Linked DNA regions of Saccharomyces cerevisiae S288C. The gene in region 2 interacts genetically with the main gene of each other region. Each region holds a gene or a part of one and is shown on either strand. Other genes may lie near its edges.

Region 1 (5,119 bases), on a different chromosome or scaffold from region 2:
GTGTGTGTGTGTTTATATACACTTATATTTTGATCCTTGGGCCTAGAAATAAATTTCGATTCCTATTTCGATTCCTATATCGAAAGGTGGTTAGAAGCTAACCGGCAACTGCAGCATGTTCTTCAAGTGGTGATACAAATTTAAAAGGCCGGGTAAATATTGACAAAGAAATAATATTTAATCACACAATTTTGAGAAAGAGCAACTGAATCAATTACTCTAGAGAAATCGCAGAACACTTCACTCGTCGTCAATAATATGACTCGTGATACACCCGAAGATGTCAGTACTGCAGGCGCAAAGGATATTTTAGATGTTTTGAACCTACTAAAAGGAGGAGAAGAGAAAATCTCGGAAGTCGAACTTAAGTTGGATGAAATGGAAAAGAAAATGGACTCTCTGTTAGTTCAGTTAGAAGATCTACACAGGGACAACAATGATTTGGCAAAAAGTTCCAGCCAAAAATAGAGAGTACGCTCACAGCCGCATAGGGAAGGAACGCTAAATAAATATATTTATATATAATCTTTTCACTAATGATCATTTACTTACCTTTCTATAAAAAGTGGCTCATCTTCGTTCTCAACGAATGGATTGGGATCTCTTTTAGGATTAATCATGTAAACGGCCGGGTCTACGTCAAGAACTACTTTAACTTGCTTCCCACTTCCAATCCACCATTTTTTTAAATCCGAACTAGGTGGTGGTAACTTTCTACCTCTTTTGGGCTCGGGAATTGGTGTCGGAGAATGCGTAGGGCCAGCTATCGAATCACTGCCCTCAAAACTTTCGATAACAAATGCATCATCACTCAAAACTGCAATTTTCTCATCATCATCCAATCCCTCTAGCCTTTCCATAATCTTCTCGTAGATTTGCGTACCCAAAGTAGTCTTTTTTTGTTCATCCACTACAGTCACTCTAGCCCTAAATATGGCATATACGGGCCGATGATCGGAAAATAGTATATCTTCACAGCATTTATATTCTAACTGTTCTAGTACTTCTCCCCTACTTAAAATCCTATCAGTCCATGCTGGTATTCTCATTTTTTCGCTCGTGTCGTAGTTTTTAGTTCCTGGGTCGAATTTATAGGTAGGTGGGAAATCAATCGCCATTTCATGGAAATATGGAAAAGACTCACCTGCGATCATTTGTTGATTAAGTTGATCCTTTTCAAATAGGCTGGCATATTCTTTAGAAACAATTTTTCGTCTAACATCTTCGTTTGACATCAATATTCTGTAATTGAAATCGCCCATCCAAATAATTGCATCGTGATCCTTTATTCGTAATCCTTTAGAAAATCGTATGCTTTTCGCAATCGTCTTATAATCATTATGCCTTTGTTCAACATTTTCTAAGCCTGCCGCTAAATGAGATACTAGTACGCAAAATCTTGTAGCTGAGTATTTAAAACTAACCGCGACAGCTCCTTTATTAGAAGCCATTCCTCCAAACCCGGTTTTTTTAACATCCCCCTCAATATGCTTTACCTTGGAATATTCCGTTTCATTCATGAATAATAATAGTAAAATACCACCCAACTGTGTACTCCATAAACGGATATATTTTTTTTTGCGTCCGGGCCCATTTAATAGTGTTAATATCTTCTTCTCCCAAAATTGTCGGACATATGGATCGGTAGCAAGCATATGACCTGGGGTAAGTTCTACCACTTCTTCTAATCCGATAACATAAAGATCAGCCATTTCATCCTCCTTGGACATTGATTTTGGAAATATCCAATCTTTTATATCATCTTTTGGAATTTTACCACTTATATTAAATGTACCTGCAAAAATTGAGATGTCTTTCTCAAACGTATATTTTGACCTTAATTGCTTTAAATACTGAGAGATGTAGATATGGAGCGGGTCGTATAATCTAACTCGGGAACCAAATAACTTCGAATAAACCTTTGTATATTTACCAGAATTCTTCGTGTGCTTAGTATACGTTCGATCAAGCCAGTAATAGTTTTCTGACCATAGCTTATCATGTGCGTCCAAGAATGGGGAAGTCAATTCAAATACATCAATTTCATTTGTGGTTAATTCAAGTACCTCCTTGCTCACTAACCTTTCAACTGTGTTAGGTTTTTCAATTGAATCAAATGCGCTTATTCTTAATACCCCCGTTTGTTTTGCAAAGTAGATGCCCCTAGAGATATCATAGGCAAACGCTCCAAACTCGTAAATATCCTGTTTTAATAAATAAAGTAATTTGTGGGGAGACTTTGTCAGAACGCTTGAGCTGTATTCTATATTTGTTATTTTTATTCCCTTTGATTCAGCACAATCCTTGTACGTCAGTGCTAACTTTTCTTGTGATTCGCTTTTAGGTTTTATGATATTAACGATACTCACAACACCATACTTTGAGGTTAAATTATCAAAATGCCTGTCAAAAGCTCCCTGAGCTTCAATAGAATCTTTTGTTACCTTAATTTTTTTTCCATACAACAGTTGACTTTCTACAGATTCCCAAAAAAGAGGAATGCTTCCGTTCACTTGAGTATAAGAAAAAATAAACTTTTCTGTGGTTACTACAATTTCTGTCTCAACAAATAGCGACACTCTCCCATCTTCACTAATACCCTCCAATTCTAGCGTATCCTGCTTGCTCTCAGTCGAAATTCTGGAAATAATGGTTATAGAGGCTGTATTTGGGCCGTCTTCTATTAATGCTGTCTTGCAATAACCCCGAATTACAAATGTTAAGAACCCTGCGTTGGCAAAAAGTTGTTTCTCCTCATTTGAAATCTTGCTTCTCCAGTTGATTACCTCACTTGCTAAGTTAGCATTCCAAATAAATGATAAATCTTGATTATCTACGGTATATTCTAAGTTATGTGATAAACCATGGTTTTTCACGATATTAGAGATGTCGAAATCTCTAGAATAGTAGAATGTTCCATCACTAAACAGTTTTTTCAGGGGGCCGCAAGGATGCTCATGAATCAATTTATCATAGTTTTGCTCTGATCTCTCGCAGAGGAGGTAGTCGAAAACATCATTTTCTAAGCTGTAAAAGTCAACATCCAATACTTTATAAATGCTCTCCGAAGGCCTAACTTGATGATCTATCAGTTTCCATCGAGGAAACCCAACATTCTGAACACCAGATATGACGGCAACATATATATCACCATTAAGACAAACGAGCCCTAATAATCCATTAAATATGCAACTTTTGACTTCGAGATAGTTACTATCACTTGAAAGATCTGTGTCAGGGTAGGACTTGATTGTTACGCTAGGAGTTTTACTTAATTGACGCTGCTGAGAACTGGCACCTGGTATGCTGCGCAAACGCTGGAAGGATAAACAGTAGTTGTTGGAAGATATTACAATCGACCGTGATCTTCTACCGATGAAGAGTCTCATTGTAGTGAAATGTGCTTCGAATTCATACGATTAACACAACTTTATCAATATTTGCTGACTTAATCCTAGAATGAAATAGAAAGGCTATTTGATTTGTGTAGATATTTGTTCCAACTTTCCGGTTTACAAATGTTTAACAAAGGGATTCGTTTAGCAATTAGGCAATGCTAAACAAGAAGGAAAACAGGAAACCCTGAAGGAGATAAAACGACGTCAAGAATAGAAGATAAAAAAAAAGGGACATTAACAGGTTATATTGAAACTCAATTCCTGCCTAACCTTCTAAATTGAGAATTTAGAAACGGTATCGCTTATTCTGAATTCCTAAAACACCCATCCCTTTTAAGTAAAATAATAATACGTGGACTACGTAGATGTGGACACTCAATTTACTTACTATTCTCTATGGTCATATTGACAATAAACAAAAATACAAGAAAAAAAAAACTACAGGAAAGATTTGTCATAAATTGTACACTACCACTTGAAAACGACCTTTGGCATATTTATGGCAGATAAATTAATGGACAAAAATTTTGAAGAACTGTGCTATTCATGCCGCACTGGTGATATGGACAATGTTGATAGATTGATTTCCACGGGAGTAAATGTGAATAGTGTTGACAAGTTTGACAATTCGCCACTTTTTCTGGCTAGCCTTTGCGGGCATGAAGCAGTCGTGAAACTTCTTCTACAGAGAGGAGCCGTCTGTGATAGAGACAGATATGAAGGAGCTCGATGTATTTATGGAGCATTGACCGATACTATCAGAGATACCCTTTTAAGTTATGATATATCCAAGGCTGTAGATGTCAAGCAACCCTTTGCTACTCATATCTCATCGATGTATAATGACGAAGGCTTCCTTAAAAGAGATATCACATTCAGAGTTTCGAATGGAAAACTGTTCACAGCGCATAAGTTCTTATTATGTGCAAGGAGCGAAATTCTAGCAGAAAAAATGGTGAATGAGTGGGCAAAGCATGAAATTGTTTCTCTTGAAGTGCGCCCAGATATATTTGACATATTTTTGAAATTTCTTTACTTAATTCCGATCCTGCACCAAATTGAACCGGGACAATATGAAGAACTTATAGAGCTATCTAGTAAATTTGATATTGAGTTATTGCCCGAATTTTTAGACAAAGCAAGGCATACCGCCGATCCTACGGAAAAGTCGAGGTTAATGTCAGATTACCAATATAAGTTTACCGAGGTTGCAAGAAGTCAACTTTTAATATTTGTGAACAATTGTATCTTTAGATCTACTGTTGATCTTGCTAATAGTGAACGACGAGTTTTTTCCTTGATGAACTGTCCAGCTTATCCGGATGTTCAACTTATGGTAAAAAACCGAAATGGAGCCATTCGAATATACCCTTGTCACCTGGCTGTTTTGAGCCGCGCAGAATATTTCAAGGTGATGTTCACAAACAACTTCAAGGAGAAAGTTACATATATCAAAGCCAAGCACGTTACAGGAAAGTATAATAGTATCATTCCACAGCTGACATTACCCAATTGTGAGTTTGAGGTTGCCGAAATTATTCTCCGCTACTTATATGCAGATAATACAGACATTCCTTGGATGTATGCCGTCGATGTTTTGTTACTTGCCGATATACTTTTAGAAGACCGCTTAAAAACTATCGCTTCTACAATTATAACACAATCAAAAGAGTTTATTCAGCAATACAATGTTTTTGACGTACTCTATTTATCATGGGAAA
Region 2 (3,491 bases):
TCTTTTTCGTCTGGTGGTGGTGGTGGTGGTGGCCCTTTTGGATGATCACCATGGGTGCCATTGCCGAACCTCCCATGCCTTCTTTCCAAAGATTTTCTCCCATAGGATGGTGACCTCAAGCCGAAAGAGTAGCTGAATTCGTGGTCCATAGCCAGCCATTCGAAGGTAGTTGGCACTTTTGATCCGGCATGGTACATTAAAGTTCCTTTGGGAATTACAGCGGGAAAATAAGATACTCCGACAGGATGTATATCCGATGGAGACTGTCTTAAAGCAGCTCGAATGGAATTAAAGATAGCCGTGCTGTTATCAAAATCAATGTCTCTGACAAACTCATGGTAATTATCCCATCGTATAGAAGGTGTGTCTGTGATTTTGGTTGCAGGTTGCTTGTGTGGTAGGGCAGTTGACACTATGCCATAAGATTCAGATAATTTCCAACAGAAACCAAGCAGCACAATGAGCAGTACGCCTACGGTGGCTGCGGTACCTTGACGGTGGAATCTCATTATTTATGTAAACAATTATAAATGGGCTCTTCGAGAACTGAGGCCATAGAATTTTTTTTTTTTATGAATTTTTTTTATCATCCTAATACTTTTTGTCTTTTAAGAGTGAAGAGCCGCAAGTTTCTTTTTTTTTTTATTTTGTTTTTAATTTTTTTCTTGGCATAGAATTTTTACACCCCGATCTTTTTTTTACATACGTAGTTCATTGCCGCTGATTACTGCATCGTCTCGCTTTGCCCGGAGAACGGTTGTTAACTTGTGTTTAATGTGGTGTAAAGACAATGTCAATGCAAGTGACATGAACACTGTAATACATCACATTGGTAAACAAAGCTTGAATCGTGAACCTTTCTCTAAAAATTTCGATAATATGCATAAAGGTTCTTGAAGCTCCCCTTGTTCAAGTGGTTTATTTTTCTATAGATATTTACACTCCGCAAGTGCAAAAAAAAAGCATTATCGCTAACGATCAAGAGGAACTGAGACCTTATTAGTTGTCTTTGTTGGCGTAACATAAATTTCTTAGGAAAAGAGAAAATTATCTCGAAGGCAAAAATAAACCAAGCCTCGAGTTTAATGGTTTTCTAAAAAACACTTTAAAAACAGATCGCCATAAAAGGAGAAGCTCCGTAGGAGACCGTTTTCGAAACCTATGTAGAAATAAAGGGAAAGCTCCAACGGTTTGGATAAATCTTTAGAAGCATAGAGTTTATACAACATTCAGTACGAAATGTACTCTCGAAACGTTCTCTTTTCACGGTGCTTAGTAGCAGAAAAAAGTGTCGGAAATTACCTATTTTGTCACCACTCGAGGATAGGCTTGAAAGAGAGTTTTAACCCCAACTTTTCTATTTTGCACTTGTTTGGCTATGGTTTAAAACATTCTGTTTGGACCAACAGCCCAAGCGGCTTATCCCTTTTCTTTTTTTCCCTTATAATCGGGAATTTCCTTACTAGGAAGGCACCGATACTAGAACTCCGAATGAAAAAGACATGCCAGTAATAAAACTATTTTGATGTTATGCGGAATATACTATTCTTGGATTATTCACTGTTAACTAAAAGTTGGAGAAATCACTCTGCACTGTCAATCATTGAAAAAAAGAACATATAAAAGGGCACAAAATTGAGTCTTTTTTAATGAGTTCTTGCTGAGGAAAGTTTAGTTAATATATCATTTACGTAAAATATGCATATTCTTGTATTGTGCTTTTTTTATTCATTTTAAGCAGGAACAATTTACAAGTATTGCAACGCTAATCAAATCAAAATAACAGCTGAAAATTAATATGTCGAAGGGAAAGGTTTTGCTGGTTCTTTACGAAGGTGGTAAGCATGCTGAAGAGCAGGAAAAGTTATTGGGGTGTATTGAAAATGAACTTGGTATCAGAAATTTCATTGAAGAACAGGGATACGAGTTGGTTACTACCATTGACAAGGACCCTGAGCCAACCTCAACGGTAGACAGGGAGTTGAAAGACGCTGAAATTGTCATTACTACGCCCTTTTTCCCCGCCTACATCTCGAGAAACAGGATTGCAGAAGCTCCTAACCTGAAGCTCTGTGTAACCGCTGGCGTCGGTTCAGACCATGTCGATTTAGAAGCTGCAAATGAACGGAAAATCACGGTCACCGAAGTTACTGGTTCTAACGTCGTTTCTGTCGCAGAGCACGTTATGGCCACAATTTTGGTTTTGATAAGAAACTATAATGGTGGTCATCAACAAGCAATTAATGGTGAGTGGGATATTGCCGGCGTGGCTAAAAATGAGTATGATCTGGAAGACAAAATAATTTCAACGGTAGGTGCCGGTAGAATTGGATATAGGGTTCTGGAAAGATTGGTCGCATTTAATCCGAAGAAGTTACTGTACTACGACTACCAGGAACTACCTGCGGAAGCAATCAATAGATTGAACGAGGCCAGCAAGCTTTTCAATGGCAGAGGTGATATTGTTCAGAGAGTAGAGAAATTGGAGGATATGGTTGCTCAGTCAGATGTTGTTACCATCAACTGTCCATTGCACAAGGACTCAAGGGGTTTATTCAATAAAAAGCTTATTTCCCACATGAAAGATGGTGCATACTTGGTGAATACCGCTAGAGGTGCTATTTGTGTCGCAGAAGATGTTGCCGAGGCAGTCAAGTCTGGTAAATTGGCTGGCTATGGTGGTGATGTCTGGGATAAGCAACCAGCACCAAAAGACCATCCCTGGAGGACTATGGACAATAAGGACCACGTGGGAAACGCAATGACTGTTCATATCAGTGGCACATCTCTGGATGCTCAAAAGAGGTACGCTCAGGGAGTAAAGAACATCCTAAATAGTTACTTTTCCAAAAAGTTTGATTACCGTCCACAGGATATTATTGTGCAGAATGGTTCTTATGCCACCAGAGCTTATGGACAGAAGAAATAAGAGTGATTATGAGTATTTGTGAGCAGAAGTTTTCCGGTCTCCTTTTGTTCTTGTTTTGGCGTATTCTCCACTATTCGTCCATAGCACATTTATACCTTAGCTAAATATTTTGTAAAGCAAAATTTTCGTTATCTCTTAAAAAATAGAAGAGCGGTTTATTAATATCAAATAATTGAAACTGCTGATATGGTAGCTATATACAAAATCTGCTGTCAAAATTTGGCAGTAAACGATCTTCACGGTAGCGGTTCAAATAAAGAGGAAAAGTCTTTCTCCCTTACTGTTTTTCTGGAATTTGGCTCGTCGTTAATAACAGAACTAAAGATACAGTAAAAGGAGAGATCGCAATCAACTTCATTAATTGTAACAGTAGCATAATCACAACTGATCATCTACACTATAAACAGTTTTTATTTCTAATTATGGGCGCCTGGCCGGCTCAAACATTGTGCTTTTAAGACTCCAAAAGTATCTGCTGCAGAAAAGAGCCATATAATGTTAAGTGTTCAGGGATAGGTTATCGCTTACTACTTCAAACGTTTCGAAGGAAAGCCAGGGAAGC
Region 3 (4,869 bases), on a different chromosome or scaffold from region 2:
CAGGACCTTTTGTCAAGGGATTTAGTGGTTTAATACCGTGAAGAATATGTAGTGGGGATATGCTACTTGCAGGACGTTGAAATAGTTGATTTTGACTAGGTTTAGAGTAAATTGGGTCCTCAGGAACATCCGACTTGTCAATTTTCAAGTGATTTCTTTCTGTCATGGGAATTTCAGAAAGTGCTCTTGACAACAACAACACTAACAAGGGACGTACTTTTTTGCCTTCTGTTTCAAAATAGTAACTAGTAACCTTGTTTAGCACCGGATGGCCAGACCCGATGAGGGCAACTATATTTTTGGCCAATGTGTTCATCTCCTTCGAGACTAATGATATGGGATTATTCCAAAGAATCTTGGGAGTTACCAACTTACTGGCAGCGTTTAAAGCAACTGCAAAGGAGGATTTAAAGCGGCATCTTCGAGATGAAATCAATTTGATGTGATGAGCAGCGCCAGACCTTTGAAACATCGTCCCACTGTACTCAATTCGGACTGAATGGCACACTTCTTGTGTTGTAGAAAATCTCTATAGATTATAATGTGTCTTACTTTAATCTTCTAATCCCCTAACCCTGTTACCCTCGCTCGGGCTTTTTCCGAAGATGCCAACAAAATGCTTAGAATGAAAAAAAAAAAAATTTTCGTAATAATGACAGGTTTCAATAGAACTTAAGCAGTAAAAATAGGGTAAACACAGGTAAAAGACGGTATGGAAACGGATAGTGGTATACCTGGTCATTCATTTGTGTTAAAGTGGACAAAAAACATCTTTTCGCGCACATTGCGTGCATCTAACTGTGTACCTAGACATGTTGGGTTCATCATGGATGGGAACAGGAGATTCGCTAGAAAGAAAGAGATGGACGTAAAGGAGGGCCACGAGGCAGGATTTGTTAGTATGAGTAGAATCTTAGAACTGTGTTATGAAGCAGGAGTCGATACGGCTACCGTGTTTGCCTTTTCAATTGAAAATTTCAAGAGGAGCTCACGGGAAGTTGAATCACTGATGACTTTAGCGCGCGAAAGGATACGACAAATCACAGAACGTGGAGAGCTGGCCTGTAAGTATGGGGTACGCATTAAAATTATCGGCGATCTCTCTTTGTTGGATAAGTCTCTATTAGAAGATGTTCGGGTTGCTGTGGAAACTACAAAGAACAACAAAAGGGCCACGTTAAATATCTGCTTTCCATATACAGGCAGGGAAGAAATCTTGCATGCCATGAAAGAAACAATTGTTCAACATAAGAAGGGCGCCGCTATAGACGAAAGCACGTTAGAATCGCATCTCTACACGGCGGGGGTACCCCCTTTAGATTTATTGATTAGGACAAGTGGCGTTTCCAGATTAAGTGACTTTTTGATATGGCAGGCATCGAGTAAGGGCGTACGCATCGAATTGCTGGATTGTTTATGGCCAGAGTTTGGACCTATACGGATGGCATGGATTTTATTAAAATTTTCGTTTCACAAATCCTTTTTAAACAAAGAGTACAGATTAGAGGAAGGTGATTATGACGAGGAAACCAATGGGGACCCCATCGATTTGAAAGAAAAAAAGTTGAATTAAGAAAGGTCTGCATTTTTTTCCTACCACATGGCATAGATATTTATAGAGTAATGAGCAAGATAAATGAGTTCGCAAAAGAACATTCAAATAATTAGTAATAAATGAGTAGAAATTCACGCATCTTTATAGAGTTTATAATGCAAATCTCCGCGCGGGGTAATTTGAAGTCCAATTTTTCCGAGCGGCGTGCCAGTTCCACTAAATTATATAAAGCGGATAGGAATTGTAATTACCTCCCAAAGTTAATATTCGACTAATGTATATTTCATATGTTATAGCGCTTGTAGGAACTGTTTTCCATTAAAACTAATATTCTTTATTTCTCAATTTTATTTATTTATTTATATTTTTCCTTTGCAAATATATTTGACGCAGGTTCGGATCAGACATTTGGTATATAAGGAGACCTGCATATACTCAAATAATGGTAGATTTTTTACCAAAAGTAACGGAAATAAATCCTCCATCCGAAGGTAATGATGGTGAAGATAACATAAAGCCACTTTCAAGTGGTTCAGAGCAGCGGCCGTTGAAAGAAGAGGGGCAACAAGGTGGTAGAAGACATCACCGGCGGTTGTCCTCTATGCATGAGTATTTTGACCCGTTTTCCAACGCAGAGGTCTATTATGGACCAATAACAGATCCAAGAAAACAGTCAAAAATTCATAGACTAAATAGAACCAGAACTATGAGTGTTTTCAATAAAGTTTCTGACTTCAAAAACGGAATGAAGGATTATACCCTGAAAAGGAGGGGTTCTGAAGACGACAGCTTCCTCAGCAGCCAAGGTAACCGTAGATTTTATATTGATAATGTGGATCTCGCTTTAGATGAGCTGCTCGCTAGTGAGGACACAGACAAGAATCACCAAATTACCATAGAAGACACTGGGCCCAAAGTTATTAAAGTCGGGACGGCCAATTCCAACGGTTTCAAACATGTAAATGTTAGGGGAACATATATGCTTTCTAACTTGTTGCAGGAACTAACCATTGCAAAAAGTTTCGGACGACACCAAATATTTTTGGATGAGGCGCGTATAAATGAAAACCCTGTTGATAGATTATCAAGATTGATAACGACTCAATTTTGGACGAGTTTAACGAGAAGAGTTGATCTTTATAATATTGCAGAAATTGCTAGAGACTCAAAAATAGATACGCCAGGCGCTAAAAATCCAAGAATTTATGTTCCATATAACTGCCCAGAGCAGTACGAATTTTACATTCAGGCATCTCAAATGAACCCGTCCTTAAAACTTGAAGTGGAGTACTTACCAAAAGATATTACAGCAGAGTATGTTAAATCATTAAATGATACACCGGGTTTGTTAGCCCTGGCTATGGAAGAACACGTTAATCCATCTACTGGTGAAAGGTCCCTAGTTGGTTATCCTTATGCGGTACCTGGCGGTAGATTCAATGAATTGTATGGCTGGGATTCATATTTAATGGCACTGGGACTCATAGAAAGTAATAAGGTTGATGTTGCAAGAGGTATGGTGGAGCATTTTATATTCGAAATTGATCACTATAGTAAAATTTTGAATGCTAATAGGAGTTATTATCTTTGCAGATCTCAGCCACCATTCCTAACCGATATGGCTCTGCTCGTATTTGAAAAGATAGGAGGTAAGAATAATCCAAACGCTATTCAGTTGTTAAAACGCGCGTTCAGAGCTGCTATTAAAGAATATAAAGAGGTGTGGATGTCGAGCCCTAGGTTAGATTCTCTGACAGGGCTGTCTTGTTATCATTCTGATGGTATTGGTATCCCTCCGGAAACTGAACCAGATCATTTTGATACTATATTATTACCGTATGCTGAAAAGTACAATGTTACTCTGGAAAAGCTTAGGTACCTTTATAACGAAGGCATGATTAAAGAACCCAAACTGGATGCATTTTTTTTACATGATCGTGCCGTGAGAGAGTCAGGACATGACACGACTTATAGGTTTGAAGGTGTATGTGCATATTTAGCGACAATTGATCTAAACTCCTTGCTCTATAAATATGAGAAAGATATTGCTTTCGTCATTAAGGAGTATTTTGGTAATGAATATAAAGATGAGAATGATGGAACGGTAACCGATTCTGAACACTGGGAGGAGCTAGCTGAACTGAGGAAAACAAGGATTAATAAGTATATGTGGGACGAAGATTCAGGGTTTTTCTTCTATTATAACACGAAACTGAAATGCAGAACGTCTTATGAGTCTGCAACGACTTTTTGGAGTTTGTGGGCTGGTCTTGCAACTGAAGAGCAAGCAAAAATCACAGTAGAAAAAGCTCTTCCTCAGTTAGAAATGCTCGGCGGACTAGTTGCATGCACAGAAAAATCAAGAGGTCCTATTTCTATTGATAGACCGATCAGGCAATGGGATTATCCTTTTGGTTGGGCGCCGCACCAAATATTAGCCTGGAAAGGTTTATCTGCATATGGTTATCAACAAGTAGCTACAAGATTGGCTTATAGGTGGCTGTACATGATTACAAAATCATTTGTTGATTATAACGGAATGGTGGTAGAAAAATATGATGTGACAAGAGGGACTGATCCGCATCGCGTTGATGCGGAATATGGTAATCAAGGTGCTGATTTTAAGGGCGTCGCTACAGAAGGCTTTGGTTGGGTGAACACAAGTTATTTGCTCGGATTGAAATATATGAATAATCATGCAAGAAGGGCTCTCGCTGCTTGTAGTCCACCATTGCCATTTTTCAATAGTTTGAAACCCTCTGAGAAAAAATTGTATTACCTATAATATTGACGAACATATGTAAATAAGATATATGTTATATTCTTCTTTCTATCAATAACCATGAGATTGTGCCTCAGTAATATTTGAGACGATTTAGAGTAAGGTCAAATATTATTATTAATCAAGTTGTGTAAAGGCTCATTTGTGAAGGTTAGAATAGTAATCGATGATTTTCAAGTAAAAGTGTTTGAAGGGCATTTCAGTAACATCTTCAAACTAGGAGTTTGTTGAGACAAAAAAGTCTGATTTTCATAAGATCATAACTTACGCTTTGAAGATCGTTATGAGTACCTTGTAGCTTGCCAGATCTTCTTGCTTATTCTTAAGCTCTTGGGTAGTACTGTATAAGACTGCTTGACATCGGGAACACTATCATTACCGTGTGATAGAATTCTCGTACCAAGCCGGTTCACCTTTGCGTGGTCTAGTGCATAGGAAGAATGACTAATAGAAAGCTTTCATTTCTATTAGTGTCTTAAATGCGAAGAAGGTATGGGAATCTATTACATACATGAAGAATATAGGATCTGTA
Region 4 (3,902 bases), on a different chromosome or scaffold from region 2:
CGGTGGATGTGTTCTTATTTTTATATGTCTCTGATAGTGGTTCTTTTTTGGGAAATTCATAATGATAGGCACTATGGCCGAGTGGTTAAGGCGACAGACTTGAAATCTGTTGGGCTCTGCCCGCGCTGGTTCAAATCCTGCTGGTGTCGTTTTTTTTATTGTTAGAGGTGCCTTGAAAATGCTACATTCATGAAAAGTAGTTGAACTGCTTGGAGACCATATTTACTGGAATATCTTCATATGGTCGAAGGCCGTTTGATGCTTCCAAACTGAATGTTGGGCTGGAATAAATTTTGTAATAGTAGTGCTTCAAATGAATTATTTTTTTTTCATTTTCAATACGCAAATGTAAATGACGCGTACGCTGGGACTGATAAGGTTTGTATTTAGATTCTTCCTGGCCTAAACATTATGTTAACTAGGTTTGTTTTTAGCGCAATTTCATTAGTTCTCAAGGAGCACTACAGATTCTTATTCACTATGGTTTAAGTTATTTCTAGAAAATATAGTGTGATCATCGTCATATATTTTTCGGAATAAAAATTCACACTCACTTATCGACTATTAATCATATTACTAGTATATTACCATATACTCTGTAAGAGGATGACATAAAGAAAGATAACAAAATTAAGAGACAGCCATCAAAATTTAATGGAAGCTGAAATGCATGATTTTGGAAATGTAAAGGATAATGAGTGAGCATATAAAATGGAAGAAAAAATAATAATAGGATTATGTATAAAATATCGATTCCCTTTTGTAGATTTCGAGATCTTCGAGGAGAACTTCTAGCACGTTGTTTACATATCTAATGTTGTAACACGGCCTTTGTTATCTTGTGAATATATCCATCACCTACGTCGCTTGAGGTTTCGTATCAAAGAAAGAGAGTTCAAACATAATCATACGTGTTTCACTCCAAATTTGATCACAAATGGCCACCCATTATAGCTTGTTATTATTTACTTCTTCTTGAGTTCATTTTATTGAAAGATGCCCGCTGGGAACAAAACATAAATAAAATTCAAGAGTACAATATAGCGTAGCATAGTTGCGAGCAAGGGAAGGCAACACAGTTAAAATGACAATGTTAGAAGGAAAAACTAAATCAAGCTCCCATAGGAAATTTCTTGTGTCAGTAATATGTCTCGAGAAAATAATAATAATTGAATCTATTTATTGAAAAGTAAATATCTCGTAACCCGGATGCTTTGGGCGGTCGGGTTTTGCTACTCGTCATCCGATGAGAAAAACTGTTCCCTTTTGCCCCAGGTTTCCATTCATCCGAGCGATCACTTATCTGACTTCGTCACTTTTTCATTTCATCCGAAACAATCAAAACTGAAGCCAATCACCACAAAATTAACACTCAACGTCATCTTTCACTACCCTTTACAGAAGAAAATATCCATAGTCCGGACTAGCATCCCAGTATGTGACTCAATATTGGTGCAAAAGAGAAAAGCATAAGTCAGTCCAAAGTCCGCCCTTAACCAGGCACATCGGAATTCACAAAACGTTTCTTTATTATATAAAGGAGCTGCTTCACTGGCAAAATTCTTATTATTTGTCTTGGCTTGCTAATTTCATCTTATCCTTTTTTTCTTTTCACACCCAAATACCTAACAATTGAGAGAAAACTCTTAGCATAACATAACAAAAAGTCAACGAAAAATGCCTATCCCCGTTGGAAATACGAAGAACGATTTTGCAGCTTTACAAGCAAAACTAGATGCAGATGCTGCCGAAATTGAGAAATGGTGGTCTGACTCACGTTGGAGTAAGACTAAGAGAAATTATTCAGCCAGAGATATTGCTGTTAGACGCGGGACATTCCCACCAATCGAATACCCATCTTCGGTCATGGCCAGAAAATTATTCAAGGTATTAGAGAAGCATCACAATGAGGGTACAGTCTCTAAAACTTTCGGTGCCCTAGATCCTGTCCAGATTTCTCAAATGGCAAAATACTTAGACACAATCTATATTTCTGGTTGGCAGTGTTCATCAACTGCTTCCACCTCAAATGAACCTGGTCCAGACTTAGCTGATTATCCAATGGACACCGTTCCAAACAAAGTGGAACATTTGTTCAAGGCCCAATTGTTTCACGACAGAAAACAACTAGAGGCACGGTCAAAGGCTAAATCTCAGGAAGAACTCGATGAGATGGGTGCCCCAATTGACTACCTAACACCAATTGTCGCTGATGCAGACGCAGGCCACGGCGGTTTAACCGCAGTCTTCAAATTGACCAAGATGTTCATTGAGCGTGGTGCTGCTGGGATCCACATGGAAGACCAGACATCTACAAATAAGAAATGTGGGCATATGGCAGGAAGATGTGTTATACCCGTTCAGGAACATGTTAACAGATTGGTGACTATTAGAATGTGTGCTGATATCATGCATTCTGACTTAATTGTCGTTGCTAGGACTGATTCAGAAGCAGCCACTTTGATTAGCTCAACCATCGATACCAGAGATCATTATTTCATTGTCGGTGCCACCAATCCAAATATCGAGCCATTTGCCGAAGTTTTAAATGATGCCATCATGAGTGGTGCATCAGGACAAGAACTAGCTGACATTGAACAAAAATGGTGTAGAGACGCTGGACTCAAGTTATTCCATGAAGCCGTCATTGATGAAATTGAAAGATCAGCCCTGTCAAATAAGCAAGAATTGATTAAGAAATTCACCTCTAAAGTGGGTCCATTGACTGAAACATCCCACAGAGAAGCCAAGAAGCTCGCTAAAGAAATTCTTGGCCACGAAATTTTCTTCGACTGGGAGCTACCACGCGTAAGGGAAGGGTTGTACCGTTACAGAGGTGGGACGCAATGTTCTATCATGAGGGCCCGTGCATTTGCTCCATATGCTGATTTGGTATGGATGGAATCTAACTACCCAGACTTCCAACAGGCCAAGGAGTTTGCAGAAGGTGTTAAAGAGAAATTCCCTGACCAATGGCTAGCTTACAACTTGTCTCCATCCTTTAACTGGCCAAAAGCCATGTCCGTTGATGAACAACACACCTTCATCCAAAGGCTGGGTGATCTAGGTTACATCTGGCAATTTATCACATTGGCCGGTTTACACACTAACGCTTTAGCTGTCCATAACTTCTCTCGTGACTTTGCCAAGGATGGGATGAAAGCTTATGCCCAGAATGTTCAGCAGAGGGAAATGGACGATGGTGTTGATGTGTTGAAACATCAAAAATGGTCTGGTGCGGAGTACATCGATGGGTTATTGAAGTTAGCTCAAGGTGGTGTTAGCGCAACAGCTGCTATGGGAACCGGTGTCACAGAAGATCAATTCAAAGAAAATGGCGTAAAGAAATAGGACAAGGATTAACCATTAGAACTGCCGGCATTTCCTGACAAGTATATATATTCGTAATCTCAATGTATATTTTTTTCATATATAAACATGCGTACTTAAAAACTTAAACTCATCGTTACTGCAGTACAATGTTCTCTAATGGCATCTCTCTAATGGTACTCCAACTAAAGTCAACATTCTCTCCGTGCAAGAATGCCTTTCTCTAGTTGCAAAAACGAGTCAATAAACATCTTTGATCGAGTCGCCTCATTTTTGTTGACTCGGTGACTAAAATCAGTGCCATTTCTGTCCATGCCTCGTGCGCGAATGATTGAATCGAACTAATCCCGAACACAATCATAGTATCGTATCGCCCATTAGTGCCGTGAGTGTACGCGAGGCAAAAGGCACCATGGAAAATATTCCCTTAGTCATCTTGGAAATCATTGAGACTGTAAAGGAACTCGCAAACGGGTAACCGATATTTACCCCACCTTTGGTCGAGAAATTCCACCTGTTCGGCAATTTTTGCCGCTCTTCTCAAGAGCAAAAGGCGTTTTTTTTTCTGACAC

What was found.
Region 1: mutations in FDH1 (region 2) and INP51 together harm fitness more than expected from each alone (negative genetic interaction), as found in Saccharomyces cerevisiae (one large-scale study listed by BioGRID).
Region 3: mutations in FDH1 (region 2) and NTH2 together harm fitness more than expected from each alone (negative genetic interaction), as found in Saccharomyces cerevisiae (one large-scale study listed by BioGRID).
Region 4: mutations in FDH1 (region 2) and ICL1 together harm fitness less than expected from each alone (positive genetic interaction), as found in Saccharomyces cerevisiae (one large-scale study listed by BioGRID).

What each region holds. Positions count from the first base shown.
Region 1 is NC_001141.2:350,043-355,161, forward strand, and holds INP51 (phosphoinositide 5-phosphatase INP51), read right to left. Parts: upstream 3,390-5,119; coding exon 549-3,389; downstream 1-548. Other genes in the region: CMI7 (Cmi7p), read left to right, coding at 259-468; YIL001W (uncharacterized protein), read left to right, coding at 3,898-5,119. UniProt on the Saccharomyces cerevisiae protein: Controls the cellular levels and subcellular distribution of phosphatidylinositol 4,5-bisphosphate (PtdIns(4,5)P2).
Region 2 is NC_001147.6:1,071,231-1,074,721, reverse strand, and holds FDH1 (formate dehydrogenase (NAD+)), read left to right. Parts: upstream 1-1,798; coding exon 1,799-2,929; downstream 2,930-3,491. Other genes in the region: YOR389W (uncharacterized protein), read right to left, coding at 1-509. UniProt on the Saccharomyces cerevisiae protein: Catalyzes the NAD(+)-dependent oxidation of formate to carbon dioxide. Formate oxidation is the final step in the methanol oxidation pathway in methylotrophic microorganisms.
Region 3 is NC_001134.8:238,412-243,280, reverse strand, and holds NTH2 (alpha,alpha-trehalase NTH2), read left to right. Parts: upstream 1-1,997; coding exon 1,998-4,340; downstream 4,341-4,869. Other genes in the region: COQ1 (trans-hexaprenyltranstransferase), read right to left, coding at 1-472; RER2 (ditrans,polycis-polyprenyl diphosphate synthase), read left to right, coding at 713-1,573.
Region 4 is NC_001137.3:284,690-288,591, reverse strand, and holds ICL1 (isocitrate lyase 1), read left to right. Parts: upstream 1-1,677; coding exon 1,678-3,351; downstream 3,352-3,902. UniProt on the Saccharomyces cerevisiae protein: Catalyzes the formation of succinate and glyoxylate from isocitrate, a key step of the glyoxylate cycle, which operates as an anaplerotic route for replenishing the tricarboxylic acid cycle.